Linked DNA regions of Tribolium castaneum. The protein of the gene in region 1 binds, or shares a complex with, the protein of each later gene. Links are inferred from orthologs where the notes say so. Each region holds a gene or a part of one and is shown in the gene's direction. Other genes may lie near its edges.

Region 1 (15,804 bases):
TCGAAATACTGCATCTGTTTATTTATCGAGCCCATTATACACATACGTATTGGTTTGAAATACTGTTTAATAAAATTACAATGTTTTTTATTATTTTATTACAAGAACTTTTATTTTTTATTTGCTGGAAAATACGAAATAATTATTGTCTACTTTTACGGAAGCATTTAGTAAAATGGCTTTTTCATATGTATTTTTTAAAGCAACAAATAGTATGTACAAAGTGTGTTAAAATGATTTTCAACTAGACGACTTGATGACTTGAACGACTTCAAGAACAAGTCGAATCCTTTAAGCAGGTACCTGCTTTTATTAAATAATTTCTATAAATATTACGTGTTTATCTTATCCGTCTCTTATGTTGTTCACACTATAGAGTATACAATGTTGAAAAATTAATGTTCATATCAGCGAATTCATGTTCACACAAGCGCCATTGTTTTGTATTTTTTACCGTTGACGGACCTGTAAAGTGGTCGATAAAAATAATTGTCAAAATTGTATGTTTAAGGTTTTAATAGCAAAAATGAGGAATGTAATTTTTCCTGTTATGTATAAAATAAAAAAAGTGGGTGTCGCAAAAAGCATTTTTTTTCTATGCATTTGAATTTTCTAGAATATTTCTATATAATAAAAATGAATCAATTAATATCAAGTCGCTGTTTTTTTTAATTATTTCTGATGACATTCAGAAACAAATGATGTTTGTGTGGTTATCTTTGCTATAAGGTAATTTTCCAAAAAAGTATTCGGAACAGGTCGATTTATTTTTTTTAATTTTGTCATCATAGTGACAGTTACGTCATTCTTTTTTTTAATGACTTCCGACATTTTTGTTTACTGTTTTAAATGGTATACTTTTAAGAGCTTTATTTTTTATTCTTAACTTACTTTATAGTCTGTCAGTTGTTTTTTATATATTTTTTTGTATAATTATCATGAAAACACTTAAAATGACAGCAAAACAAAAAGAAATAAACGAAAAACAATTATCTCTTATAAAAAAAAACAAGCATCAAAAGAAACTTTGTAATTTTTTGGTTTTTTATTTTCTTCTTTATTTTTTGTTGTTTTTTTTTAAATTCATTATACTTACTAGAAAGATATAAATGTGTAATATGTAAAATTGTAATAAAAAATGTCAGTTGACAGTTGTAAAAAAAATAAAAATGACGTCATTACACAAAAAGGAATAACGATATATAAAAAAGCGATCTGTTCGAGGATTTTTTTATTGTTTCAGAATGTTAATTGATATTATTTAAAAAAATATTTATAGCGAATTAATATTAACTTATTTTGATTAAAAGAAATTGTAGAAAAAATTTGAAAAAGTTTACGTCTAGAGAGAAAAAAAAAATAAATACAATGTGTTCAAAAATGGTTGTTAATCAAGCCTACTATGCAATTTAAATTCAATTCTGGGTACTGTCATTTTTGTCAAATTTTTGATTAATTTTTTTTTACAATTTTTTGTATTTTTCGGTAAAATTGTTTCAAGTGTAGAATTTGTGTTTTATATTTACGTGATTTTTGTTGGTGTGTATTCTTTTTTATAGGTGACTTGATAAACAATCATTTTTGAACAGTGTGTATTTAATAGTAAACCCTAATTTTTTACGATTATTAGTTTTTAAGATATAGTAAAAAGTACTTTTAACAGGCTCACCCTGTATAATGTATGACAAAGAACATGCATCGTCATGCATCATGAATTAAATAGCTCAGTGCAAAACAGCAACAGTTGTAAACATTAAAATTTTTGGTGTAATATTCTCTTTCAAAATAATTGTTCTTTGTTGTTTTTTTAGCAATATTAAATCACAATAGAAGATTATTGTTTCATTTTAAATAATTTGAGTGTTAAAGGTTTAATATTAAAAATGTTTCTTTTTATGTTTCATTGTGCATATGTTTTATTAAATTTTATTATTTTTGTTAATTTTCCAAATTATTGTTGTTTTATGAAACACTATGAATATTTAATTGTTCAAAAATAATAACTATACCATTGTTAACAGCACAGATAGAAACTTTGCACTTGGATTTTGTTATACATTAATATTTTGATTTTTCTAATATTTTAAATATTTTGACTGACAAGGCGATGACTAATGTCAGGTTATTTTGCTATCACAAGGCAAGCTTTTGATAACTGGTCTTAAGGATAACAATTTTTATCAAAGAAATTCCTTTATTTTTTATCACAATTTTATTATTTTTCTTTGTTTCACTTTCTTTGAATACCTGAGAAATTAATTAAATTACATAACTTTTAAAGTGTTCAACAATCGAAACTTTTTAATCAATAAGTTACTTGTCTGTTGTGTTTTTCCTTGTTTTCCACGTTTTTGTGTTATAATTTTTGTCGAAGAAAAAGCTCTAAATTGAAGTGGAAGTTTTTCCAGCGATAGATTGGACTTTGTCAAGCTTGTATAAACTTTACCACGTTTTCGCATTATTTAATATTTTTAGATTGGTTGTCAAGCAATTTAATTTTTGTAGTTTTATTGTTAAGTTGCAAACGCTGTATCAAGTTTTAAAAATTTGCGAAGGAATTGGTCAAGGTTTAAATTATTACAGACAAAAAACACTAATTGTGCAATAACGAGGTTATCGTTGCAGGATTCGCAAATTACATAAATCACTAGGTGCCGAAATTAAAAACCGAACAAAGTTTTTTTTTAATTGTTGTAGATTCTGCCGAGCGTAAAATTAGACTAGACGTAAGCTTTGAAGAGGAGGGTAAAAAAAGAAGTTTTAAAATTGATGACCTCGAGGCACTTTCTGGAGAATTTGAATTTTTTAATTGGAGGAGGAGTTCGAAGGTTATTTTTCATTGTGAGTGTGCAAAAATAGCCACAAAATGTTGTTATTCGAAGAGTTTTCAATGGAATAAAATTGCAGGTGATCTGTTGTGACATTCTATAAATAAATCGTAAAATTGCCGGCTTATTTGTAATTACGTACGTGATATTCAACTTACTTTGAAACAGGATAAAAGTCATTTAAATGTCATTTAATTGGTCCAAAACCCCCCTTTGTTTCTCGTCATTTTAATAATCTTCATTAGCGTTCAGTCTGCGGTCGGTTCTCATTTGGCATTGTTTCAGATTTTCGCCCGAATTCATAAACAAAGGAAATGAGTTAATAGATTTACGTTGGTCATTTTTCCTCCTCTAATAATATGAAATCCATAACCCGTAATTAACAGTGGAAATTAATGAGTTTCTCGATTATTTTGTTTACGATTTTAATGAAATTGCAACTTGTCAGCAATTAAGTAAATTAATTAATCGAGGCAGCGCATAATAATAATGAACAAAATCGATGAGATTTATTTTTTTTTGGCATTCGTGTTGTTGTCTGCTCGTTGCTAAAAACCTCCACTCATAATTTACTGCAAGCAAAATCAATATTGATTCATTAGCCGACAAAATAAACGGTGCTAATAGAGGGATGATTGACGGGGGTTTTAATAAAACAGCGACTTCAATTTCGGTTTGGTTTTATTGTTCGTTAATTGTTTAGTTATGACTGTGACGTTCGTAATGCGAATGGAAATTTTAAGATTATTTATAGTCATTATTACTTGAAGATTTTCCGAGATTTACGCCATAAATTCGTAAAAAACGAGCTCCTGGCCTAGATTCCCCCGTTTTATATCGTTGTTGGATAATCAGCTGAGTGTGCAATGTCTCTATCATTTACCACCAGTTGTCTCGTAAAAAACAAACTCGGGCAATTGGTTTTATTTGCTTTATTTAATCGCAATTTCCGTTTTCACGACCTCGAATAAATCTCTGGGAGTTTTAAGGGTACGATATCTCATTCTGCCGATATTTTTCAAGGGTACTTGGAGACACGATTTCAATTCGAATTTTTTCCGCTTAGTTTGTTATTATCGAATCGTTAGAAACAAATGTAAAGCAAGCACGTTCCTGACATTATCCCGGATTTGGATTGAGATGATGAACTGAATTTTTAAGGAAATATTCAGAGTTCTTCAAACACTGAACATAAAGCGATAAAAATATAAGAATCTTGAGACATTTTAGTCTTGTTATTTTTCTCAAAAGAGAAAAGCTTTAAAAATATGGTAGATAAGGCGAGTCAAGGTCGTATTTTATCGGAACATCCACAAATAAATAAGTTGGTCGTTCGTGGATGTAATCTTGTAAAGTGATATAAATATTAGCACGCTTTTGTAATGCTTGCAATTGATGTAACCTGATTGATGTCAACAAATTCTGGTTTGGCTCATCTACTTTTTATTTTTTTAACAGTTAGTTTTTAATTTTTCAATGCTTTTTCTCAAAGCATTTATACCATATTTAACGTCAGTAAATTGGAAAGCTTAGGTTTACTTTTTTGAATTGAATTGAATTTTTTAATTGAGGTAAATTAAAAAAAAATTGTTAATAAAATTAATAAATTATTGAAATGAATTTTTTTAATAGGTAATAAAATATACAGAGTGAACATATAAAGTTTTTTTTTCAATATGCAAAAAGCTAAAATAAATTAAAGTTTAATGCATTGAAATTGTAATATTTTTTTTGACAATTTAAATATATTAAGTAAGAAGGTTAATTGTTAATTTTCAGAAAATTTTCAGCATTTTGAATATAAGGAAAATTTCTGTAATAATTCTGATTTTCCCCTGGTATTGATTTAAGCTGTGTCATCAAGTTATCGTATTTCGCTTTACTAATGTTTTTTTTGTGAAATTTGTTTTAAAATGTAGTTTTTCTATATCTTGGTCTTTTTTTTTAACTGAAACCAAATAATTCTAATAATTTGAATTGGTTTTTTCCATCTTCACATTTTTTTCTTGCAATACATGGTGATGTTACATTCAAATAAATTTTACGAAAGTTTAAAAAGTCTTCTAATTTCATTGAGGGGGATTTTTACAATTTCTAATAGAATAAACCCAATCGTTGCAAGTGAAAGAATAAAAAAATATTTTTTTCTATTGTTTTATAAATAATTTGGACTTCACACTTTGTCGCTCTAACATTACGCTGGTCAAAATTTCAAAATCTACAATTTTTGTAAATAATTTTATTTATTAAAAATAATGGACTTAGAGTGTTATCGCTACATACACAGGATGATTCACATAAGACTTCGAATTTGAATAGGTAAAAACACAACACGAAATACATTTTACAGAGCATCAATTTGATAATTAAATCATATATTCATAACAGGCGTCTAGTTACTTTTATTATCTGTATTTTGTGTTGGACTTTTATTTGTGAAATATAAGACTCCGGTTATGTGAATAACCCTGTATAACTACATAAAAGTTGAGAATCTAGATTTTTTTATTTAAAAAATACAAACATTTGTTATGTTTTATTTTTTATTTTTATTTAATGAACTATCTTTTTGGCGCATATTTTAATTAATTTTGCTAAATGTTTGTGTCTTAGTAGCTATCATTAGTCGTTACTATCTTGTGTAGTAAAGTGCTCATGTTTTAATTGACTAATGATTCGTCTTTAAAATTCTTACTTCGTTATTTATTAATTATTATTAACAGTCTAAATGAATTGATTTTCCGATGTACTTTAAAGTAAGGGCGCTATTTAAAAAAAAAGTTTTCAAACGAAGTCCGATTAATACACTGACAAGCTATGAAAAATCGAGCTTTCTTTTAGCGATTTAAATGTCGTACTATCAATTATTGGACTTTGTTACGAAAACAGCGGATTTAGACTAAAACCTTTCAAATTTTGTTTAAAACATGTGTGTTTTCGTTTTATTAATGCTGCTTTGTCTTTTTTTCAGCTTGTGTAACTAAGAAAAACTTCAAAATTAGCATAGAAAATTTAAAGTAAACCAGTATCAGCGCAACCACTGGCCTTGACAAATTATGAGCATAACAGCACAATACGCACCCAGCACGCATTGAAGACATCTGAGGATTTTTTTATTTATATATTCTGTTATAATTAAATTTTGAGTGACTGTGGATAGTAATTTTTATACCTATTGGATTGTTTTTCTAGTAACATTGTAATAACGATATATTATTGTGAAGTTTGTTGAGCATAATTGTACCTTTGTGACTTGGTTTCAAAGTAGGAGTGATAATTTTATTAGTACGGTCTCGGCTGCCATAATTGACTTTTGTGGGGTATTTACATATACCACTAACCATTCTGTGATATTCACTACACTTAAGAAACGATAAGAAGTGAAAAGATAAATCATTGTACTGATAGACTATGTCCACCAATCCTCAGTGGAAATCCTTCCAGCCGCCCGACACCATGAATCAAGACTCTGCCATCATCGATTTCAAACCAATGACCAGCAACGGTAATTTTCACCCCACACACTTAATAAAACATTAAAAAAATTCTTGTAGGCAAAGCATCTCAAGCATTTAATTTTACAAATCGCTCCACATCTAATTCACGGTTCGGGCAAGACTTTCCTTTGCTGCAGGACAAGTCTTCATCATTCAGCAACGGTCTGTACGGATCATCAAGTACCACACATACAAATTCTCGGTTTCCGATTGGTACGTTCTCGCTCGATTCGAATAACATGTTCAACAGCAGCGGAGACAGCACCATCACCAGCAACAACGTTTTCTCCAACGGAAACAACAGCAGCTACAACGACTCCAATTCGTCGAATTTGGGCACCAGAGAAACGGGCATCATCGAAAAGCTGCTGGTAAACATGATGTTGCATTTATACACACTCACACTGGCGTACAAATTTACATAAAGGACAGGCTGTGATTTATACGCTGTGGGGGTTTTGAAGCGTTTATTTCAAGTGCCAGTAACCGCATGGAAATTTTGACTCTGATCGTGAAATATTGATTTGAACGACGGCTGATCGACAGCTTTTAGCGGTTTATTATGTTTATGTGACAAGAGAGCGACGTTTTATACGGGCTTTTGCCTGAACAGCGGGAAAAGTGCGATTTTCTCTTGAGTTTTTACACAGTTTTTTCACATGAACTAAAACGTAAAATTACAAAGATAATGATTTTATTACTTTTTATTGTAAGATTTGGTTTTAAGGAAATGAATAATTTTAAAGTTTATTTTGTCAATTATTCTATTCAAATTATTAGGCTTTAATGATTGCATTTGTTTTGAAGTCATTCACATTTAAAAATCAATTGTAATTCAAAACACGTTTAGCGTCTTTAAATTTTTCTCGTAAAAGAATAAACAGCACTGTTGCATGAAATTAGGACGTTTAATATGTGCGTTATTTTATTTGTTAGTAACTTTTTTCTTTATTTAGGACGAAAAATACAGCAATTTTTCATCAAAATAATTTATTTCCTTTTCTATTTTCACATAATCTTAAGAGAAACTTGCGAAAATAACACCGTTTCAAATAAATTCTTTGAATTTTTTGCCTTTTTTAAACTAAATTTTGTGACCTACTATTTGGTGAATTTTTGGTTTATTTAGGATGATTGTGGGTTTAGCTGAAAAATGTGCTGAAAAAGGCAAAGTAATACCTACATATAATTTTAAACCGAATTTGGTTAAGAAATATAGCGTTTTAAATTTATGATGGAAAAACGTGAAAAAAGCGGCACAATAATGTAATTTTTAACTCAATTTTTTTACTTTTTTATTCAGGTTTAGTAATAGTTTGCACAAAATCTGCGTTTTTATCCGAACTTTTTGCTAAACTTTCGGTTTATTTATGACGAAATTTTGCTAATCACTAATCAAATCAGTTTCGGTTTTTGCTGAAAAATGTGTTGAAAATATAATTTTATATTGAATCTGGTTAAAGAAGTTTAGCGTTTTTATATTTTTTTTTGTAATAAAAAGGAACGCAAATGTAGCTTGAAATTAGAACGTTTAAAGTGTGTTTTTTATTTGTTCCTCACTCTTTGCCTTGTTTTTGCGAAGTTTCTTAAATTAATTGCGTTTTTGACTGAGCAACGTGATAAAAGATCTGAAATACAAAAAAGTACGGCAATTTTTGACCTAATTTATTGATTTCTAATTCTAATTTTTCATAATTTTACCAGAAAAGGCGAAAATAACACCATTTCAACCAAATTTTGTCATTTTTGTTTATTTTGAAATTATTAGGCTTTAGTGATTGCATTTGTTTTTAAGATATGCACATTTAAAAATTAATTGTAATTCAAAATGTTCTACGTAAATGCAAAACACGTTTAGCGTCTTTAAATTCTTCTTGTAAAAGAAAAGAAACAGCACTGTTGCATTAAATTAGGACGTTTAACATGTGCGTTATTTTATTTGTTCGTAACTTTTTTCTTTATTTTTGACGAAAAATACGCAATTTTTTATCAAATCAATTATTTCCTTTTCTATTTTCACATAATCTTAAAAGAAACTTACGAAAATAACACCGTTTCAAGCAAATTCTCTGATTTTTTTGTCTTTTTTAAACTAAATTTTGTGAACTACTATTTGGTGAATTTTCGGTTTATTTAGGATGAAGTTTTGCTAATCAATTGTGGGTTTAGCTGGAAAATGTGCTGAAAATGGCAAAGTAATACCTACATATAATTTTAGACCGAATTTGGTTAAGAAATATAGCGTTTTAAATTTATGATGGAAAAACGTGAAAAAAGCGGCAAAATAATGTAATTTTTAACTCAATTTTTTCATTTTTTAGTAATAATTTGCACAAAATCAGCGTTTTTATCTTAAACGTTGGTTAAATTTGTTCAATGTTCGAACTTTTTGCTAAACTTTCGGTTTATTTATGACGAAATTTCCTAATCATTAATCAAATCAGTTTCGGTTTTAGCTGATAAATGTGTTGAAAATATAATTTTATATTGAATCTGGTTAAAGAAGTTTAGCGTTTTTATATATTTTTTTGTAATAAAAAGGAACGCAAATGTAGTTTGAAATTAGAACGTTTAAAGTGTGTTTTTTATTTGTTCCTCACTCTTTGCCTTGTTTTTGTGAAGTTTCTTAAATTAATTGCGATTTTGACTGAGCAACGTAGTAAAAGGTGTGAAATAGAAAAAAATACTGCAATTTTTGATCTAACTTATTGATTTCTTATTCTATTTTTTCAAATTTTCACCAGAAAAGGCGAAAATAACACCAAATTTTGTCATTTTTGTTTATTTTGAAATTATTAGGTTTTAGTGATTGCATTTGTTTTTAAGATATTCACATTTAAAAATTAATTGTAATTCAAAATGTTCTGTGTAAATGCAAAACACGTTTAGCGTCTTTAAATTCTTCTCGTAAAAGAAATAAACAGCACTGTTGCATGAAATTAGGACGTTTAATATGTGCGTTATTTTATTTGTTAGTAACTTTTTTCTTTATTTAGGACGAAAAATACAGCAATTTTTCATCAAAATAATTTATTTCCTTTTCTATTTTCACATAATCTTAAGAGAAACTTGCGAAAATAACACCGTTTCAAATAAATTCTTTGAATTTTTTGCCTTTTTTAAACTAAATTTTGTGACCTACTATTTGGTGAATTTTCGGTTTATTTAGGATGATTGTGGGTTTAGCTGAAAAATGTGCTGAAAAAGGCAAAGTAATACCTACATATAATTATAAACCGAATTTGGTTAAGAAATACAGCGTTTTAAATTTATGATGGAAAAACGTGAAAAAAGCGACACAATAATGTTATTTTTAACTCAATTTTTTTACTTTTTTATTCAGGTTTAGTAATATTTTGCACAAAATCTGCGTTTTTATCCGAACTTTTTGCTAAACTTTCGGTTTATTGATGACGAAATTTCCTAATCACTAATCAAATCAGTTTCGGTTTTAGCTGAAAAATGTGTTGAAAATATAATTTAATATTGAATCTGGTTAAAGAAGTTTAGCGTTTTTATATTTTTTTGTAATAAAAAAGAACGCAAATGTAGCTTGAAATTAGAACGTTTAAAGTGTGTTTTTTATTTGTTCGTCACTCTTTGTCTTGTTTTTGCAAAGTTTCTCAAATTAATTGCGTTTTTGACTGAGCAACGTGGTAAAAGGTCTGAAATACAAAAAAGTACGGCAATTTTTGACCAAATTTATTGATTTCTTATTCTAATTTTTCATAATTTCACCAGAAAAGGCGAAAATAACACCATTTCAACCAAATTTTGTCATTTTTGTTTATTTTGAAATTATTAGGTTTTAGTGATTGCATTTGGTTTTAAGATATTCACATTTAAAAATTAATTGTAATTCAAAATGTTCTACGTAAATGCAAAACACGTTTAGCGTCTTTAAATTCTTCTCGTAAAAGAAATAAACAGCACTGTTGCATGAAATTAGGACGTTTAATATGTGCGTTATTTTATTTGTTAGTAACTGTTTTCTTTATTTAGGACGAAAAATACAGCAATTTTTCATCAAATTGATTTATTTCCTTTTTTTCACATAATCTTAAGAGAAACTTACGAAAATAACACCGCTTCAAACAAATTCTCAGAATTTTTTTGCCTTTTTTAAACTAAATTTTGTGAACTACTATTTGGTGAATTTTCGGTTTATTTAGGATGATTGTGGGTTTAGCTGAAAAATGTGCTGGAAAAGGCAAAGTGATACCTTATAATTTTAAACCGAATTTGGTTAAGAATTTATGATGGAAAAACGTGAAATAAGCGGCAAAATAATGTAATTTCTGACTCAGTTTTTTCATTTTTTATCCAGGTTTAGTAATAGTTTGCACAAAATCTGCGTTTTTATCCGAACTTTTTGCTAAACTTTCGGTTTATTGATGACGAAATTTCCTAATCACTAATCAAATCAGTTTCGGTTTTAGCTGAAAAATGTGTTGAAAATATAATTTTATCTAGATTCAATATCTGGTTAAAGAAGTTTAGCGTTTTTATATTTTTTTGTAATAAAAAGGAACGCAAATGTAGCTTGAAATAAGAATGTTTAAAGTGTGTGTTTTATTTGTTCGAAACTCTTTGCTTTGTTTTTACGAAGTTTCTCAAATTATTTGCGTTTTTGACTGAGCAACGTAGTAAAAGGTGTGAAATAGAAAAAAATACTGCAATTTTTGATCTAACTTATTGATTTCTTATTCTATTTTTTCAAAATTTCGCGAGAAAAAGGCGAAAATAACACCATTTCAACCAAATTCGTTGTATTTTTAATTTTTTTTTTAACGAATTTTTGCTAACTTTTAGCAATTTTTCGTTTTAAATAAATTTTGTTATCAAAGAAAAATTTTAGACAGAATCTGGTTAGGAAATATAGCGCTTTTAAATTCTTTTTGTAGAAGTAATTACCTGAAATTAGGAGGATTTACGGAATTTTCCGAAATAATGAAAGTAAAAAATCACACGATTTGTGAGATTAATTCGGTTTATTTTTCTCGGACTGCTGCTAAATAATGTCGTTTTTGAGGGAAAATTATGAAGAATTTTGTAAGATAGAGTCATTTTCATTAGTCATTACTTCATTAGTCGAACTATTCGGTAAATTTTCGGTAAAATAATACAATTTGGATCGAATTTGATTAAAGAAGTTTAGCATTTTTAATTATTCTCTTAGAAAAAAGTTACAGCAAAAGCTGCTTGAAATTAGGACGTAAAGTGTGCATTACTTTATGTATTTGTGATTTTTCGTCTTGTTTTTGACGAAATTTTCGAAATTAATTCGTTTTTGACCGAACCATTTAGTAAGAAGTAAGAAATAGAGAAAAATACTCTAGAACCTAATTTATTGATTTCTTATCTCATTTTTACAAATTATTACGTAAAAAAACAACCTCTTAACACAGTTTGATGATTTGTTTTTTTTTACAAAATTTTCCGAAATCACTGCTTTCGACTTATTTTTCTCGAACTATTGATAAATAATTTATTTTCTGGTGGAAATGCGTGAAAAGGACGACAAAAAATGTCATCTTCGACTCAATTTATAGTGATTTTTTATTCAAGTTTGTTTATATTTTGCACAAAGTCTGTGTTTTTATTTCAAACGTTCATTAAGATTGTAACTATGTTATATAAATGTATTTGGTAAATTTTCGCTTTATCTGTGATTAAATTTTGCTAATTATTCGCAGTTCTAGCTGATAAATGCACAGTAATATTATGATTTTAGATTGAATCTAGTAGAAGTTAAGCGTTTTAAAATTATTCTCTTAAATTATTTATTCTCGTAGAAAAAAAGTTTCAGCAAATTAGGACTTAAATTTAAAGTGTGCATTATTTTATTTATTACTTTTTGTTTTATTTGACGAAATTTCTTAAATTAGTAGCCATGTAGTAAGAATTTCGAAGAAAAGAAAAATACAGCAATTTAGAACGTAATTCATTTATTAATTTCTTATGCCATTCTTACAAAATCTTGCAAAAAACTTGTTCATTTTGACCCCTAGAAAAGGCGCAAGTAACACGTTATTATTGTGCGATAAACGTGTTGTTTAGATGCTCTGAAAATGCGAAAATAATACTACTATTTCAACACAATTCGGCGATTTTTTGTTTTTTTTTTAACGAAATATTGCGAAATATTTATTGCTTGTAGAATTAAAAAAATCGCACGATGTGTGAGAGCTAGCTCAGTTTATTTCTCTCGAACTTTTGCTAAATAGTGTTGTTTATGGAGGAAGAATGTGAAAAAAGCGAATTTACTTAATAATTTTTCATCTAGATTTAGTAATATCGCGCACAAAATCTGCGTTTTTATCCCAAACGTTACCTGAAGTTGTCCACTTTTTGAACCATTTAGTGAATTTTTGGTTTATGTGGAAATTTTGCTAATGAGTTGTGGTTTTTGCCGAAAAATGTGCTGAAAATCTGCTTAAAGAAGTTCATGATTTTGTTCTTATTTTTGACAAAATTTTTTAAATTAATTGGTTTTTTGACTGTGCAACTTAGTAAGAGGTTCGAAAAAATAGACTGCAATTTTTATCATTGATTTTTTGTTTCATTTTTACAAAATCTCGCAGGGCGCTTGAATCCAATTCAGTGATTTTTACGTTTTTTCTAACAAATTTTTTGAAATAATTGTTCGTAGAAGCAAACATAACTACAAAGATTTTGTATGTAATATGTTTCATTTTTCACTAATTTTTACTAAGGAATGACGTTTCTGGATGTAAAACGTGGAAAAAACGACAATTTTCGGTCCAATTTAATGATTTTTCTATCTAGTTTTAGCAGTTTTTTACACAAAGCCTGCGTTTTTATCTCAAACATTGCTTAAAATTGTTCAATTGCTAAATTTTCGGTTTATTTATGTGCTAATTAATTGCGGTTTAGCAGCTTGAAGACGAGTAAAAGTTAGTTTTTTTTTATTAAGACTTAAAAATATAACTGTTTGTAGTTCAGTTTGAATGGAATCTTATCGAGTGCATTTTTTTAAATCAGACAACGCAGTCTCGTCATTTCGTAATAATGTGGTGAGAGAATCGCACTTGTAATATAATAATAGTGTGAACCACTTGCTATTATTTCAATTGTTTCCTTTTTCCTAGCATTCTTACGGATTCATCCAGTGCTGCGAACGACAGGCTCGTCTCTTTTTCCATTTTAGTCAGTTCAGTGGTAATATTGAACATTTGAAAATTGGTGATCCGGTGGAATTTGAAATGACGTACGATAGACGAACCGGCAAACCGATAGCGAGCGCCGTTACAAAAATAGCACCGGAAGTAGTGAGTCGTGTCTTTATTTCCTTATTTTCGTCAAAACGTAATTCTCTTCCCATCACAACAGGTTATGAGCGAAGAAAGGGTAACCGGAACGGTTACAACCGAACTTCGAGGTGAAGGCTCCGGTGGAGATTCAACAGGAAGGATTAGTTATGAAAATCGAGGTGAATGTTTCTTTCTACCCTACACCAAAGACGACGTCGAAGGCAATGTTACGTTGAGAGCTGGCGATAAAGTCAGCTTCCAAATAGCGACGAATAACAGGTTTGTTAAAAGACCATTAAACAAAAACTATATTTATTTAATTTTTTACATTTCGGAATTCAACAATTATGCAGGAACCAAATGATCGTAGTAATATTCTTTATTAATAAAAAATTCAACATGTTTTTCAATTTTTTGACATAGAATTCGTAATATTTAAGTGTGTCAGAATTTGATGATAATAATAATAATTACAATATTTTCTTTTAATGTCAATGTATTTTCGAAATCAAGTGAAGCAAAGTTATAATTTTTTTTTATTGCATGAAATGGACATTTTATTACATTAATACCATCAGATTATTTAGACTTTGAAATTTGTTTTGAAATTAATAAACCAGATGGCTTCACCTTTTTATTAAATTTACATTCAAAATATTTTATAGCATTTTGTTTCTTATAAACAAATATTTATTGTAACCCTACAGCAAATAAACTGAAATTATGAAACGTAAATAATTTTTGATTTTTTTTAAATTATCTTATTTGGAAATCAATTTTCCATATGCACAATTTGTTTACAGCACGAGCGCAAGGAGTGCTGCATGAGTTGCGAAATTAATAAACACAGTTTTATAACAATGGTAATGTAATACCGATTTTAATTAATATGAGAAAAACAGTTTTTAATTAAATTAACGAAGAAATAAAATAACCAAAAGTGTTGTTGCAGAACAGTTTTGTCTTGTACGTGTACACGTCTTTTTCAGGGCTGTTACATTAAACATAAAAAAAATTTCACCAAAAAAATTTAATTTTGTAAAATTTACGTTCTCGAGAATGGGATTTCGCATATTTTTATATTTTAAGAAATTATTAAGGAAAGGAAGGAAACGCGCGACACCCACTTCGGCGTAGGTTTCTAAAAGAAATTTGAAGCTAATTTCTACATTTCACCTTTTTTAGCATTTTAGCATTAATTGTTTTGAAGGCGCTTTAGCTTTTAAATATCAAATATAAATTGTTCTTTACGTTACATCTTCGTCAAATCTACGTTTCATATGCTCTCAGCAATGTAAGAATACAAGAGGTGTTTTAACATAGTTTTACGGTTGTAACAATCAGCAATACTTATTATATTTAAGAATTGCTTTAATTAGTCAAATTAATAACTAATTTGTCCAGCAAGAACCATATGGAGGTTTAGAGCATTCTTGTCAGGAAAAAAGGACGTAAGAATGAGGTAAACAATGATTTTGAAAATGATGGGAATAAAGGAATTATTGGTTTGTGAAATGAAAAAAAAACAACACAAAAATCAATTTTTTTTCACTTGGTCTTAAATGAAATGCACTTGTTTTTATATGGCATCTGCTACCAGTTGTAGCAAACATTAAAAATAAATTAAAAACAAAACCAATAAAAAAAGCTTTACAGCAAGCGACTTTCATCGATTGAAATTAAAAGACAAAATCAGTACAACGTGTCAATAAATTATTTGAGTGTTTTATTTTATTTATACTTTTTGTGTTTGAAATATCTCACTCAAACTATCACTTTTCAACACCTCACTTAAAAAATTAAAATGCACTTCCGCTAGAGTTTGTAGCAAGAGATTAAAAATAAATTAATTGGGCATGAAAAAAAATGCACTAACCTTCATGACATGACGTCTTGTGCTTCCAAAGCATCATCTTCTTAAACGGACCTACTGAAATAGAATACAATGAAATTAGAATAATGTGCCCTTAAATTATGGTGCTATTTTCTAACTTCTGTTACTATGTTATTGCTCTATTACTGTAAAAATTACAGCTGTTATTTAAATTTATATTCTGTAAACTCTGTTACCCTCTGTTAGTAACATTAACATTCTTTGTTAAATAAAGCGCCATAAACTAACAGTGACAGTGAGAGGTCGTGAATTTTTACGATGTTTCACCAAATTAACAAGAAATTGCATTAAAAATGTGATAAGTGAATAAA
Region 2 (16,341 bases), on another chromosome or scaffold:
GCACCAAAACAAAATAAACAGAATTGAACTGCAGCAGTTTCTCGAGTGCTGTACACCCTAAGAAGGCAGCTGGCGAACTGAAATCAAGATGGTAAATGGTTCCTAAATCACAGGTAGTCAGATGAACCATAAAGGAAAAAATAAGGTCGAAGAAGAGCAGCTGGCGCATTTGGTAAATCGGGCATCATGTGTTTCATCATCAGAGAAACTATTAAATTTTAAGCAATGGACGTGACATAACTTATAAAACCTGAATTCATTTTGACCAATTGGTAGAAATTCATTGACATTATTAGATTAGTCATAAGTTTAATCGTGCCGAGGCTTCAAATTAGAAATAATGCGACAATACCATGGGAAATAAGTCGGCCGTCAAAATTCAACAATAGCACGTATCTTTTTTCGACATACAACCATACTAGCCTTGATTGCAGATATCCAGGAAACGACATTTACCAAAATTATACATTCATTTTTTATCATCCGAGATAATCACACAGGAAAAAGATACAGAAATGTCGATGCTTAGTCTACAGGGTAAAGGATGTTGAATTTCCTTCGTTACTTGGTTTAGGTTTGGATCGTTTCAAGAAGGTACATATATCTTAAAACCGACACGATGCACGTGTCCGGCTATCACGTGATGCAACCCCCAGGGGAGGCGAGGTGCAAGGGAGGGGCCGGCAGGTGGCGGCCCTAACGCATGTGTGGCGTGTGGTGACCGAACGAAAAGCAGATGTTTTTCGAATACTTTCGTCCCCCTTTCCTTCCCTTCGAGAAATCGAAAAGACTTCACTTTTTAAATGTAAAAGGAATTAAATATATTGTACGGTTTGCGCGACCTCGATTATTTGCGGCAATTTCCGCCCGCCTAATTCACTAATTTGTTTCAAAATTAGCCGCATACGGATGAAAAACATTCAAATGGCGTCAATTGTCTTGTTTTTTCTAATTCGAGCCGAAACGAAATTAATTATTCTGGGGATTCGGTGACATTGCTTGAAATCATAGAAAGTTTCGATAAATTGCTGCCATTGCATAAGCGACAAACTGGTCACGACGTTACCGAACAAGTGCAAAAAATTACGTTTACTAATTCGATAACAAATATTGCCATATTACGCTAATTGCTCCCACTTTGGACTTGACGGATGTGACGCAAATCTCGCCAAAAACCACATGGAAAATTTTTAAATCGGCAAAGATCAGATTTTATGACGATGGTCCGGGTCGAATTGACATTTAGAAACGGAAGTACGGCACACGATCGCCGCATACAACAACAAACGATAAAGCATTTTATGTGTAAATAAATTCAAATTAGGAAAAAGTACGTTTATTTTACATTCTAAAATTGCGTATAATTAAACGATAAAGGAGAAAGTTGTTCGAATATTCAACATTTGTGTGCTATGATAAATGGCGATTTTCTAAAAAAAGAAAAAACACATCTGTCAGGTAGGTGACATAATACGTTTAAATGTTACAACTTTTGAATTTTGATGAGGCACTTTACTAGATTGTGCCGAAATTAGAGCGCGTCATGTATTCTAGTGATTAATTAAGCGTTAAAAATTACTATTACAGTTAATTCAATTAATTTACAGATCTCGATACATTAATCTGATTTAATTAACGAATTAACGCGTACAGCTACTTTTTTACTTCACTCAACCTTGATTTCATTAGAGAAAAGTGTGTTCAACTACTGCCCAGTGCAGTGGCAGTAGCATGCAAGCAATTATTATAATAAGGTACCAACATTCCAGTTATCAAAGTAGGGTAGAGACAATTAGCGGGACTTAATGTAGGTATAACGATACCCTCATTTCAAACACCGTTGCCACATTTGAGCGACGTTGTCACACACCTGTGACGTAACGTGACGTCATTTTATACATCAAAAATTGCTAAAAAACGATGCTTTCACTCGCAAAAACGGAAACTAACGTGACATAAAATGCAGCTTACAGTTAAACCAATGTAGGTTTAATGGCGCATTAGCAGCCTAGGTACAAAACAAAAATAAACTAATACGGTAGGCGCATGTTAATTACCCCAACGGTAAATGCACAAGGAGGTCCGTGCCCTGATCACCCACCTATAAACAATGATTCATTCCAAATGACAAAAACGTGGCTTATCAATAATTTCTAATTGTGTCGGTAATGAGTGAGTAAGGGTACGGAGATCTATTGTGGCTGTTAAAGTACAATTGAAACAATTTAGCAATCAGCGTCATTAATCATTTAAAAGCGACTTTTTCCAAATTATCCTGACAATGGAAAAAACGCGAATCTTGTTCAGGTCTGTTGGATAAAGCAACATAGTTACCCAAATACGTACTTGTGAAAAATTGAGCTCTTTAAACATATACTTAGGTATGACATTGAGAAATGTGAAATGTTATTTTCCGGGACTTTACCTGATGACAGTGACATGTTTCCGGAAAGGCGGTAAAGTGTGACATGCGTCGGTAACAGTGACCAGTCTACTGACATGTTGTCTTCTGGTGGTGCAAACCACCCTGATCCGTTCTTGTTGTATTCCGGAGCGTCTAACTCTGACAACAGTTCTATCGCACACATCAACCGTATGCACAGGGTTCGACCTGACATGTTCGGTTCTAACTTGACTCTGCACGAAGGGTTGGGGAAACCCCCCTGGCGACTGTCCACGCATTACAAGCACTCACAATTCACGTACCATGATTGCACTTGCGACCGGATTGAACGGCGATAGTAAAAGTAATCGTACTTTCTACTTTTGTGTCGATCACTGGTGGTGGCCGGAAGCACTAGGGTTGTTAAATCGCGGGTTTTGTACACAGTTTGCGGATTACAAATGTCAGCTGACCGTGCCTCAGCACAGACAACCGAATGGAACGATCGGCACAGTTAGAAGAAGGCGAGCGGGGCTACAGCCTGACGTCACTTAGTCACAGTCCTTGGTGTTACATCACCACAAATAAACACCGAGGCAGATCAAACCCTGGTGCAACCTAAACCTGGCGCCCCGACGACATGTGCGACTCTACTACACGACCACAAGCCTCAAGGCTGATGCACGAGCAATTACCGCAAACGTGTGGGTGCTTGCCAATACCAAGAAACGCCAGCTAAAGAATCGCCTCAAAAACGACAGCGCGTTATAGACTAGCCTGAGGATATCCGTTCACTTTCCCTTATTTAGAAATCAATACGCCGTTCGACTGTGGCATATATGACACTTTGTGGGGACCCCGAGCGCGATTTCCGCCAAAGAGTGCATCCTCGAGGTTAATGACACCAGGACAGCCCCCAAATCCGACCGCCGCCTCCCTAATCCCATTATCCACAAAAACAAAACCTCCAAACAGGACTACCAACAAAACGCCAATTACCTTAATTTAATAAAAACCATCGACTTATTATCTTCTTGACCAGTGTGAACGGTCGGCGTCGCGACGTCGCCACGCATGCGCACAGAACCAAGTCAGTGGGAGGCGTCGTTTATGACATTTTACAACATCCTTGTCCCAGAAATGTACAACAAAAAACAAACAAACGCAAACTTTGCAAACAAAACACGACTGCCACTTTAAATCATTTGACGTTTCATCAATGAAACTGCGACCGATTTATGACAAGGGTCGCATCTCACCCTTGGAGGGATTTCCCCATTTTTTAATTATCGCAATAAATAAACGGGTGTTTGATGCCGTTTTCTCACCTTTCATCTTGCAACCGTTTCAGTTCCACCATTTCCAGCTCGAACCTCAGATTGCTGTTTTCACACAGCAAAAGATCCCGCTCGCTTGCAACTCCATCCAGTTCCCTCTTTAGCCGAATTATCTGGTCCCGTTGTTCCCGTATGATGGCATCTTTTTGGGCCAATAACGAATTTATATCGACTTCTATTCCTGCCATTGCAGGTCTCCTACTGTTCACACACACACGATCCTCAGTTGTTACGGTACCGTCCAAATTTTTAATCTGACGGGCATTTTCCTCCAGCAACGATTTGGTTTTTCCTTTTTTCACACAAGTTTTTCAAAAAAATTATCACATCTTATTCTGAAACGATATTGACAGACGAAATACAACGCGCCGCACTGTTCCTTGGTTTTTCTCACTATTATTCATCTGTCTCTCTTACGTCAGGAGCGAGAGCACAGAACAAAACGGGATGAACAAACCTACACACGTTGCCCCATCTGGAAATCCCCTCCAGTAACACTTCCAGGATGGTAACTTAGCGACTTGTCTTACCGGCCTACCACGAATTTCCGCACAAATTGCCGATAAAACGTGATTTCTCACACGAAAATGGGTGACTAACTTTGTTCACCTGCCTAATCAGCACAATAGTGCTTTGTAGATAAAAAAATCAGATAAAATGTTAATAACAATTACCATACATGGCCACGTGAGTAGTTGCGATGTTGCCACATTGCCATGTCCACAAGAAAATAAAGCACTCTTTGTTATTTTTGTTTGTTTTTAATGAAACAAGAGGTCCTCATGTTTCCAGTTTTAAATATTCTTAATCTACATCAAAAATCAAGACAACAGAAAATTTATTTATATTTATTCATTTTTAAACAATTTCTGTAATATATACAATTAATCTTGAATTTTAACTAACTCCGAAAAACTATTTTGTATGGATTTAACACAAAATAAACTTAGCCGATTACAAAATGAAGGCAAAAATTATATAAAATGTAATAACATTCATCTTGTTAGTCTCATCAGTGTTTTCTTAATCTTTGTTATAAAATATGGTATATAAAATCTATTTCTTCTCAAATATTTGTTATCTGACTCTAAAAAATTGCGTAAAAGAAAAAAGCACCTGTTTGAGCAAGTAAATTTACTCTCACTGAATTTTTGTTTAAACTAATAATAATATAAATCGTTATCATATACTTGTGGCAGCAGATAAGACCGTTACATATCGAAAAAAAATATTTACACACCGATTTATCAGTGAGAGTTGGTACTTAATTTTTTTAATGTGTTCGTTAAATATGAATATTAAAGCAAACTACTCTTAAGACTGTTCGTAATGCCATTAGTTGCTACCACACCATAGATGAATCACTCACTACTTCTTATCTTAATGATTACGAAAATATGTGAAAAATGAAGCTTTTTGGACAGGTCTCATCCTAATTACTTATTAAGTGCTACTATTAATATTATAAAAGACATCCGAATGAGTTAAAAAAATTGTTTTAGAGAGTTAGATTTCTTGAAAAAAAGAATTTTGAATTTTATAATCGAAAACATAAATTAAATAAATTTCACGATTTAAATGCTAAGAATTTAAAGCACGTAACGATTTCCGTTTGAACGTCCACAATTCGTTCTTTCAAATATGCCGCCACAAGTTTGACATTAGAAATTAGATTTCCGTTAGAAATTGTGTTCATATCAGCCTAAATTTGTAACAATTTGACTATAAAAAGTGTTCTGTGGTCACGAAAATTTAAGTCGTATTTTTATTAAACTTTTAAAAGTTTTATAGGAGACGGTACGTGTAAGAATTTTTAAAAATAGTCATCTTTGTCAACGGTCAAATTTTATGGTTTGGCAAATTTAGCTCGATTAAATTGAGATAGACGTCGGATTCTTTCTGAAACGATGTATGAAATCAAAAATGTGCTTTTTTTGCTAAATTGGTCGCAGGGTCCGTTAAAATTGATGTATTATTCAATATTTCATCACATGGCAACACTGGAATCAGTCATATCCGGCTTGTATAAGTAGTGAAAATGCTGTAACGACTCCATTTTGTTACTGTTGTTAGTGGTGTAAGCGTGTGGTTGTGTATCTTCTTAGAACACACAACCCACCTAAAAAAAAGCTAAATAATATTTACAAAAATCCAAAAAAATTATAAAAACTCATTAAAAACCCCAAAAAAATCGAAAAACAGTGGAAAAAACGAAAATAAACGGTTAATGTATATTTTTCGTTTCTTATGTTAACGCGTAGCATATCTGTGTAGTGTGCAAGAACGAAGATGAATCCGGGTGCTCCAAACTACCCCATGGCGTCTCTGTACGTCGGGGATCTCCACACCGATATCACGGAAGCAATGCTTTTTGAAAAGTTTTCCACTGCTGGACCAGTCCTTTCGATTCGCGTGTGCAGAGATTTGATAACGAGGCGTTCTCTCGGTTACGCTTATGTGAATTTCCAGCAGCCCGCTGATGGTAAGTGCGAACCCAGTGCCCATTTATTTGTTCCATATGGTACCCGACTGCCATTTAATATTTAATCCGTTTTGATTGTTAACCTTCCCCCACCACGCTCGCAACATTGAAATTTCTTAGAAATTGGTAAATGTTAATGTTGCAGCCGAACGCGCTTTGGACACCATGAATTTTGATTTAATCAAGGGCCGCCCAATTCGCATTATGTGGTCCCAACGCGACCCATCCCTTCGTAAGTCGGGAGTAGGAAATGTTTTCATTAAGAATCTAGATCGTTCCATTGACAACAAGGCTATGTACGATACGTTCTCAGCCTTTGGAAACATTCTCAGTTGTAAAGTAGCTCAAGACGAAAACGGCACCAGCAAAGGCTACGGCTTCGTCCATTTCGAAACAGAAGAAGCGGCTAACAAGTCGATCGAAAAAGTAAACGGCATGTTGCTCAACGGAAAGAAAGTCTACGTTGGCCGTTTCATTCCACGTAAAGAACGTGAAAAGGAGCTTGGCGAGAAAGCTAAGCTCTTCACCAACGTTTACGTCAAGAATTTCGGCGAAGACTTGACTGAGGAGCAACTGCGCACCATGTTTGAGAAGTACGGCAAAATCACCAGTTACAAGATCATGAGCAAGGACGACGGCAAGTCGAAAGGATTCGGATTTGTCGCCTTTGAAAGCCCTGAAGCCGCTGAGACAGCCGTTGAAGCTTTGAATGGTATGTTGCTTGTTGAGAGTGGCCGATTTTGTTTCTAATGTCTTTGTTTAGGTAAGGAAATCATCGATGGAAAGCCTTTGTACGTTGGACGCGCCCAGAAGAAGGCCGAGCGTCAGCAAGAATTGAAACGTCGCTTCGAAGCCTTGAAGATGGAGCGTTTGAACCGCTACCAAGGCGTGAACCTCTACGTGAAAAACCTGGACGACACAATTGACGATGAACGTTTACGTAAAGAATTCTCTCCGTTTGGAACCATAACATCGGCGAAAGTAATGATGGAGGACAATAGGAGCAAAGGCTTTGGCTTCGTTTGTTTCTCGTCGCCGGAAGAGGCCACAAAAGCCGTGACCGAGATGAACGGCCGGATCGTAGGTTCAAAGCCTTTATACGTGGCCTTAGCGCAGCGCAAGGAGGACCGTAAAGCCCACTTGACATCACAATACATGCAGCGTATGGCGAACATACGCATGCACCAAATGGGTCAGTTTATCCAGCCTGGAACGTCAAGTGGGTATTTCGTTCCAACGATCCCAGCCCCGCAGAGGTTCTATGGGGCGGCCCAGATGGCCCAGATCCGCACGAACCCGCGATGGCCGGCTCAGACCCCCGTGAGGCCCGGAGCCCAGGGCAGCGCTAACCCGTACGGTACCATTCCGACCACGTACCGAGCCGCGCCAAGGCCCCCGAACCAGTCCGCCGCTTTGAGGAGCAATATCAATGTGCCAAGACCAATAACCGGCCAGCAGCCACCGAATATACAAGGACGACCATTAGCTAGCCAAGCCGTTGTAGCACCTGCAGGTAATCGCCCAACTACTTACAAGTATACAGCAAATATGCGTAATCCTCCACAAGGTTTAGGCATCAGCAATGCTGCTCCGGTCCAGCAAGCTGTCCACATTCAAGGCCAGGAGCCTTTGACAGCCACCATGTTGGCAGCTGCCCCGCCACAAGAGCAAAAGCAAATGCTGGGTGAGAGGCTCTTCCCACTTATTCAACGCATGTATCCAGATTTGGCCGGAAAAATCACCGGTATGTTGCTCGAAATTGACAATTCGGAACTTTTGCATATGTTGGAACACAATGAATCCCTCAAAGCCAAGGTGGAGGAAGCCGTTGCTGTCTTGCAGGCCCATCAAGCCAAACAGGCTGCTATTAAAAAAGAGTAAACGGTCGCTTACTCAGACAAATAAATATAATAAAATGAAAAAAATTGCAAACATGTCTTACGACAAAAAAACTTATATAAAAATCGAAACATCATCATAAATGAAACTATTATTATGCGTTCGTGATTTTTGCTTGTTTGCAATTTTCACTATCTTAGTTAAATAGTTATTTCTTTGGTTTTTAGTTACTTTTCGCATTTTCCAATATCCTATTAATTGATGTATCTGCAACTTACTGAATTTGTAATATAAAATTGTACATTTCATATTTATTTTTCGTTCAAATTAATTTCTCAATCTTATGTTACTCTCTTGGTTTTTGGAATTTTAAAATAATAAATCTTAATAAAAACACATTCTTTTATTTACCACTTCACTACAATAAGATCTAAAAATAATATCTAAAGCACCAGAAATAAAATTCAAGGTAAGTATTGAAAGTACCAAAATAATTCAACATTTTAAAACACTAAAAAAAAGATCTAAGCTTACTTTTTCAAATGCCCAAATACGATTTTAAAAAATGATTGCGATTTGTCCAAGGAACAAGGGTGCTGTATTTTTTTTAATGACTTAAACTAGGATATAAGATGAAGGAATACTGAAAATTGTTTTAAAAAACTTGATTAATCGAAAAAGCAATAAAAAAACAGTACCGTAAAATTTTCTCACAAAAGTACATAACTTTTATCAAGCAAACTTCAAATTTTATAGTTATATTCACATTACCTTACCTGACTGCCTTAAATACAGAGGTGGGCAAAAGTATGGAACGAGTTTTTTCAAAAATAAATTTTCGAAATTCTTTTTAGTAAGTATTAGTACTTTTAGTATTTTAGAGCATAATCTTTTATCAAAAAAATTATCGTAATAGGGTGCCATTTGAAGAAAAAAAATTTTGAATACTTTAAAACTATTATCTGGGATATAATGGTGTAATGAAAAACGAATAGTATATGAGAAATTTTTATTAACCGAAAATACAATATCAAAACGAAGTAATGAAAACATTGGTCATTTGAACAGTTTTTTGTGCTGTTGACTAATGAGCAATATCAACAAATTAACACTTTATCAACAAAAACACGTTAGGCATTCTGCACCGCTTTTTTGGCGGCATCGTCGAGATTTTCAGCTGTTTGGATATTCATGCCTGAATCCTTGATAATTCTCCGGGCCTCCGCCGCATTCGTGCCTTCCAGTCTGACAATCAAAGGCACTTCAAGCTTCATCGCCTTCATTGCACCCACGATTCCATTGGCAATCGTCGCGCAATTCACGATCCCGCCGAAAACGTTGACCAAAATACATTTAACGTTCTTATCAGACGTGAGAATATTGAACGCGGCTTTGACCTGCTCCTCGCGGACGCTGCCCCCGACGTCGAGGAAGTTGGCGGGGTCGCCCCCATGCAGCTTGATGATGTCCATGGTGGCCATGGCCAAACCGGCGCCGTTGACCAAACAGCCGATGTTTCCTGTCATCCCGATGTAGTTCAGGTTGTATTTCGCCGCTTCGACCTCGCGGGGGTCGCTCTCGGTGACGTCCTCCAACGCGAAGATGTCCTTTTGGCGGAACTGCGCGTTGTCGTCGAAATTGATTTTCGCATCCACTGCGATCACTTTATTGTTGTCCGTTTCGACCAAAGGGTTGATTTCGAGCTGAGTGGCATCGACGGCGAGGAAGAACTGCCACAGTTTTTTCAGCTCGGCTGCGGCCAAACCCTTGAGGGGCCCCTTGAACTCCAGGAACTCGGCCACCTCATTGGCCATACTATCGGTCACCCCCTTGTGAATATCAATGGGGATGTTTTTGATCAAATGGGGCGTCTTCTCAGCCACGGCTTCGATGTCCACGCCGCCTGCGGGGGACGCAATTAAGACAGGCCCGTTCTTCTGCCTGTCCATTAAAATGCAAACGTAGGTCTCCCTCTGAATGTTCACACTTTCGGCAATCATGATTTTTTTCACCTCGATGCCGTCCTTGGGCGTCTGCTTCGTGATAAGCCTGTGGCCGAGCATTTTTTTGACGATATCGTCGACTTCATTGCGTCTGAAACAAACGCTCAATTTTGACAAAACCACAAAAAAAATTTTACTTCTCAGTGACATGAACCCCGCCTTTAAAACCATTGGTAAAGTGGCCTTTGCCGCGACCACCCGCCAGAATTTGTGCCTTTATTACGTATTCTTTCACATCTGCAAAAAATTAAACAGTGACATAACCCCAACTTTTATTAACACTTTTACTAAATTTATCGAACTCGGAGCATCCCTTATCATCAACCATGCAAAAGTCTTGCACAGCCACCCCATTTTTGCGCAAAAGGTGCTTGCTTTGGTACTCCAACAGGTTCAAATAACGCACCGGAACCTGAAAATGATTGAGGTTATGTCATGTTTTTTGCGAATTTGTAAAAAAGTTACGGAGAATTGTTTTATCTGAGTCGGGACTTTTAAAAGAGAGTTCCAGAGGGAAGACATTGTTTGGTTTTCGCAATAAAGGCACTGCACACTTATCACTGGTATTTATCTAATTGGGGAACAGCACGAATGCACAAAGTCCAAATGTCTGAATGTTTTATCTGAAATAATTGTCCATAAAAAAAGACGGAGCGAGAAATTGCTCAGTGACGCAACTTTCGGCCAATTTGTGGGATAATTAAGCAAAACACACTCCTTAAGTTATTTTATATTGATCTAGGTTAGGTTTTTCCCATAACTCTAGGAAAAAAGCATTGATTTTGATTTTTGGTAAAGGGAAGGTAATAAAAACGATTTTTCGATTTTCTTACGCAAAAAACTGTATTTTTTATACACATATTTATACTTTTTCCACCTGTGCTAATTAGGTTTCTAGGTTAAGAATGCGGGATTTTATTTTAAAACAAACTAAACGGGACAGATAAATATCTATTAGTTTTTATTTTTAGTACACATTTAATATTTTTAATAACTATTTACAAAAATAGGCGTTTTGATTTAAATAAGGGGCTGTGCTCGCCATTGGTGGAATCTATATGTCATTGTACATAAATGGCCAATAACAAACTAGATAAGTATGTACAGTGAAGGTCACAAGATAATTATTTTTGGACACTATTTTTACAAAGGTGATGACAAAAACAATAAAATTGTTGTAACGACACATCTACAGTCGAAATATATTTATAAATGCGTTTGTTAAGCACCGATATGTACATATTTTCCCGTCTACCTGATTCCGCTGACATTTATAAATAGAATTAAAAAAACTTAATAGTCCTGTCTTGTCGCCCAAAAACGTATCACAAGTGATGAGACATCTAAATATATTTAGTTAATTGAAAACTGGTTTGCAACTTATTTTTAATATCCCATATGAAGATGATTTTCCCGCTCCCTCGATCGCTTTTTCAATAAAACAATGCAAATTAGGAGCAAAGCGAGCAGGGCGATCACAAGAGCCACCAAAGTGTACATTGCATGCCGGAAACCTGCAGCCGGGTCTAGAACTTACCAAATAAAATGCAACTTTGTGAATTAGTTATTACCTGGACTATTTTGTAGCTCCCGCGGGATGTTATTCGATAAATTATTCTTAATATTGGCCATTTTTGGCACGAGCTGGTTCCAGAACAAAACCCTCTGGACGCGTTTTTTATTTTCTTCATTTATGTGGGAATTAACCGGCCCAAAATTTTCGATATAATAGTCCCCCGAGGTGTATTTTCGCCACGATCTGACCTGATTGTTTAGTGTCGGCTCCCTGAAATTTTTTCCTAGACTTTGGACTATTCATGTTGGGGGAAATACCCAAACATTATAAAGTTGGTCCATAACTGTTTGATTTGTCGACTCAAATTCATTTCGTTGGCGTTGAACCGCCGCCTGGCCACTTGCTTCAGCAAAATCGGTCCAAATACCAAGAGAAGGTCTGTGGTAATGGTCGAATCGGTTGTATTGAGAACAAACCCAACATCATCCATAAAATAAACATAAATTGGTTGCACGTATGACGAAATCAGGTGCGAAAGTTGCAAAAAATGTGGCGCTTCCACTTTGGCCTGAAACTCAAAATCTTTCAACTCGTCGTAGAGGAGTCTAACGTCCCCTTGGTTCGACGAGAAGTACTGCCACCTGATAAGGTCATAAATGTGGTCTTTGTTGGACGCCCCGAGTTTATACAAACGCGCAATTTCGGGGATTTTCACCTTTTCGACGTATTGTTGTAACTGGGTGAAGCCCTGACTTGCGAGTTCCAACCACTGCACTAAAAATAAGGGTCAAGGAGGGACGATTGTCAAAAAAACGTTACTAAATTGCTCGTCGGTGATAGGTTTCGAAATTCCGGTCAGAACGGGAACTTGCCAATCTGTGCCTTCTTTGAGCGCATTTGTGGGGTTCAAAGGGAGGTACCGGTTATTTTCCGGTAGGAAGGTGTCCACAACGGGCAAAAATCTATCGTTCCAGTTAAAAGACTGCAAAAACCGATGAGTGTCTCGAGTATGGCTGTCCGAACGCACCTCTGAATACTCAGCCAGAGCTTGTAAAATATGTTCCACTTTCTTTGATCGGAGACATTTAATCGGCTGCACGGTGTAAGCGTCGCAACCTAACATCCGAAGTATCTGCTTGGATGCCACCACCGGGTCATTTTTCTCCTGCCAGGTCGCTACGGCACTTCCACTCGAAATGATAACCCTTTGGAAGAACCCGGCGGTCCGCGGCGAAACCATATGAAAGGTCACGCTCACAGCCCCCGACTGGTGGCCATAAAGCGTGATTTTTTCGGGGTCGCCCCCAAACTGATTGATATTTTGCCGGATCCAGACCAGAGCGAAATACTGGTCCAACAACCCCAAATTTCCGCGCGCTTCGGCCGACCCCAAGCAAAAAAAGCCGAAAACGTTCAGTCGGTAGTTGAGCGTCACGACCACCAAGCCCTCAGTCGCCAAATCTTGCCCGTTTATCGGAAACTCGCTGCTTTGGTAAAAATTCCTCCCTTCGAAAAAAACCACCACCGGCAGTGGGGCGTACAGGCCTGCGTTCTGGAAAAGTCGCCACAAATCCATTTGTGGAAATCGACAAAAATGAAGACTCTCGAACCTCAGGCGACCAAACGTTGAGGTAGAGACAGTCCTCCTGGTCGTTAATTCCGGGCTTTGGGGGCAGCTGGGGGCAGTGGGGTGCGAAACTGGTGGCTTGCCGCGTTTCGTTCCACGGGGGGTGTTTCAGAGGTGGGGCAAATCTCAGATCGCCTGTCGGGGGCGCAGCGTACGGAATGCCGAGGAACGCGTTTACGGTTTTTCCCGTGTCGGTGATAATCCTGGACTGTTAGGGGGTGAGACAGGGTTTTTTGGACGGTGACTTACCCCTTCCAAAAGCCCTTGTTGTACTCTAACTGACGGGTGTCTCTCACGCCAATTTTGGCACTCAATGAGATTCAAAAAGATAGAACAAACGATCACTTGTGTTAAATACATCACGATTTCGCGTCGAAAATTAAATAAATTTATTCTGTTACATTGTATTTCGTCAATGTTAAATCGCTTCAGCAATGAAATGGTACATAACGATCATAACAAATTTCATGAGTGTCCATGTATGTGCTTCCGGTTTTTCCCTTTTGTTGCGCTTCCGGTACCATATCGAACTGTACCATACGCGAAATATTTTATTTACAAACAATCCTATTTTCACGAAGACTCGCTGTTTCATTGTTATAGTTGTGATTCATTCGCAATTATTCATTTTGCTAATTCTTTAAAATTTGTCAAGCTATGACTAAGTCCAGACGAATAAAATTCAAAATTGGCCATTTTCCAATCAAATACTATGAGTTTTTTGTGGCCAAAAGTTTTACGAATATTGTCTTACTACAAATCTAGAGACTAATTAGGAATGAGATAATTTGCATTTGTATTATTTATTTAGTATTAGGGCTAGACTATGCGTCATTTTAATAATAAACTTCTTGGGTGCTGTTTTTAATAAAAAAATCACACTTTTGAAAGTAAGTTTATTTCATCTTCAATTATTCCGCCTTTCGAGATGTTTGCGAATCGCGACCTGGTTTTACGGCGATAAGGGAAGCGAATAAAAATGTTTTTTATGGAAATGGGATAGTGCGCTAATTATCAATAAAACTTGATCCAATAATGGTGTGATAAAGTTGTTTGTGAAGACTTGGACAAGCGAAAAAAACAACATATGTTTGCTGTAATTGTGAGATTCAAGATAGAATGTAAATTCTCGCGTAATACTTCCATATAAGGCTCTGAAGCTTAGTTTTCAGGTCACATTACTCACAATTTAGTCAAATATAGTTTAATTGCATGCGTAACTGTTGATCTCGAAAATGAAAATGCGAGAAGGATTTGGGGGATAAAATTAAAGGCAGTAAAAAGACGGGGGCACAAAAAGAGCCAAAGATTCTTGTTGTTTTTATGGAGATATGTCTGAAGACAGTGAAGAATTTTAAGTGCGTTTATCGGCGCTCGAGCAATCGCGTGGGCCATTTGCGACTCCGGGGTTATTTTGATAGAATATCTAAGGTAAAAAAGGTCGGAGACTCGTATAAATTTAACAAAAATCGACATGTGACACAAAATATGGAGCTGAATACTGAAAAAAGTGGGGTTAAGTTTGAAGACAATCTATAAACAACCAAACTCATGGACGGAGTTCTATTCTTGGTTTCACACATATCTTTAGTTCGAGTCGTGTTCAGTCTTTCTACTACATCGAAAGTGTTATAAAAGTGCAATGATTTTACGGAGGATTCTCTAGATAATATCGTTAATAAATTAAGTGAGTACAATTAAATTCGCACCCCCTGGTGCATTTCAATTAATTGCGAGCACTTAATTGATCGTCTTTCATTCGCGCAAATCGCTTAATATAGACTACTCGGTACTCTCCAAAATTTTAACACCCAAAAACATTTTTCTAAAAAATCTATTTTCAAAGTTACGTATTTTGAAACTATTTATAATTCCCGAACGTTTACATGCAATATTAGCGTTACTTCATAATGCTTAAACATATTTATTTGTTCATTATTAACTGCAATAAACACCGCGAACATAAAATTATTTAACTGACGCGCTTTTTTATCGTAAAACCGTAAAAAAATCTGGCTTAATTAAAAAAAATTGGAAAGCAAGTAGAGTGTATTATAATTGAAATTTGTTGAGATTTAGTGCGACTACATTCTTAAGTCAGATAAAAAACCAAAAACACCGCAACCACATCCGTCAGAACGACTTCCAAAGAACAACTTCAAAATTTCGCTTTTTCAGTAATCTTGAAACGCAAAACTAGGCAACCAAATATACATATATTTTTTTAATTTAACTAAACCAATTAGATGTGAATTACTCGAGTCGCCCTTGATAATTTGTTTATTTATATATAAAGAAAAATAATTGGATGGCATTCAAATACAGGACAAGTTCGATATAAATAGACTAGAGATGTGTTTTCCTCATTAAATGAAATCTCTTTTAACATCGTAAAAGGGCAAAAGAGATTTTCGACTTTCCGCTTTTTTCTTTGATGGAATGTCACTGAGAAAGTTGGTATTTTTACCATTGCAGAGAATGACAAAACGTGATTCAAATATTCGAGAATGAGTGCGATTACTTACCTGCATCTGCCTACACATGGGTAAACCCAGTGGCGAATCTGGCTCATGATTTTTCCCCACAGAAAATCTCATCACAGTCGCCCTCTGATAATAAAAGGTTTTTGTTAATTTTCCCTATTGATCAGTTCTTTATTTTTTTGTCTAAGAACTGCAGCGGTCATTAGAAAATTTTTCTAAAGTTTGAACGACTTTTTTTAACTATTTTAGTAGCATCGTATCCAATGGGTCTAAAAAACTTATTTGAAATGTTTTTGTGACATAAAGTTAATCGAAAGTTTGTACAGAAATTTTTGCCATTGGTAAAAATTTGTCCCTAGTTAAATTTGGCCGAATTGTACTAATTATTGTCCAGTTAAGTATTTTTTTTAGTATAAGTTTCGTTTAGTTTGATTTATTTTTAAAAGCTGGGGTGTTTGAGGATATTTTTATTTAATATAGACTAAAAGATTAAATAACTTATAAGTATAGGTAGTTTTTTTTGTTTATTTTCCGTTTGATAAAGGTTTTATCATTTTATTAAAAAAAAAGAAAGTGAAAAGGGCCGTGGATGCGAAGAGTCGGTAGTATTGCTTGTTGTATATGGTGTTACAGAGGGGTCATAGGTGAATTTGATCAGCATGGCTCAACAA

The links.
Region 2: the proteins of Unr (region 1) and polyadenylate-binding protein 1 are in contact, whole or in part, in a crystal structure (PDB 7ZHR), measured with the Drosophila melanogaster proteins. The link is inferred for Tribolium castaneum from reciprocal best matches to the Drosophila melanogaster genes Unr and pAbp. Residues at the interface, in NP_648226.2 of Drosophila melanogaster: Leu843, Glu844, Thr845, Thr846, His847, Asn848, Gly849, Val850, Glu870, Ile871, Leu872, Asp873, Glu874, Thr878, Val879, Ile880, Ser881, His883, Leu902, Ile907, Asp908; in NP_476667.1 of Drosophila melanogaster: Asn184, Tyr186, Lys188, Ser211, Lys213, Met215, Phe225, Phe227, Ala229, Tyr255, Ala257, Arg258, Ala259, Gln260, Lys261.

What each region holds. Positions count from the first base shown.
Region 1 is NC_087394.1:5,348,073-5,363,876, forward strand, and holds part of Unr (cold shock domain-containing protein E1), read left to right. Parts: intron 1-5,799; 5' UTR 5,800-6,239; coding exon 6,240-6,333; intron 6,334-6,382; coding exon 6,383-6,696; intron 6,697-13,437; coding exon 13,438-13,617; intron 13,618-13,678; coding exon 13,679-13,878; intron 13,879-13,884; exon of another isoform or gene 13,885-15,804. UniProt on the Drosophila melanogaster protein: RNA-binding protein that acts as a regulator of dosage compensation in both males and females.
Region 2 is NC_087403.1:5,251,510-5,267,850, reverse strand, and holds polyadenylate-binding protein 1, read left to right. Parts: upstream 1-5,762; 5' UTR 5,763-6,009; coding exon 6,010-6,202; intron 6,203-6,347; coding exon 6,348-6,914; intron 6,915-6,965; coding exon 6,966-8,083; 3' UTR 8,084-8,435; downstream 8,436-16,341. Other genes in the region: siz (IQ motif and SEC7 domain-containing protein 1), read right to left, coding at 2,426-2,682; ScsbetaG (succinate--CoA ligase [GDP-forming] subunit beta, mitochondrial), read right to left, coding at 9,172-10,135, 10,182-10,281, 10,333-10,456, 10,510-10,566; pyrethroid hydrolase Ces2a, read right to left, coding at 11,431-11,570, 11,616-11,830, 11,878-12,334, 12,380-12,542, 12,588-13,112, 13,171-13,395, 13,437-13,547; cher (filamin-A), read left to right, coding at 16,330-16,341.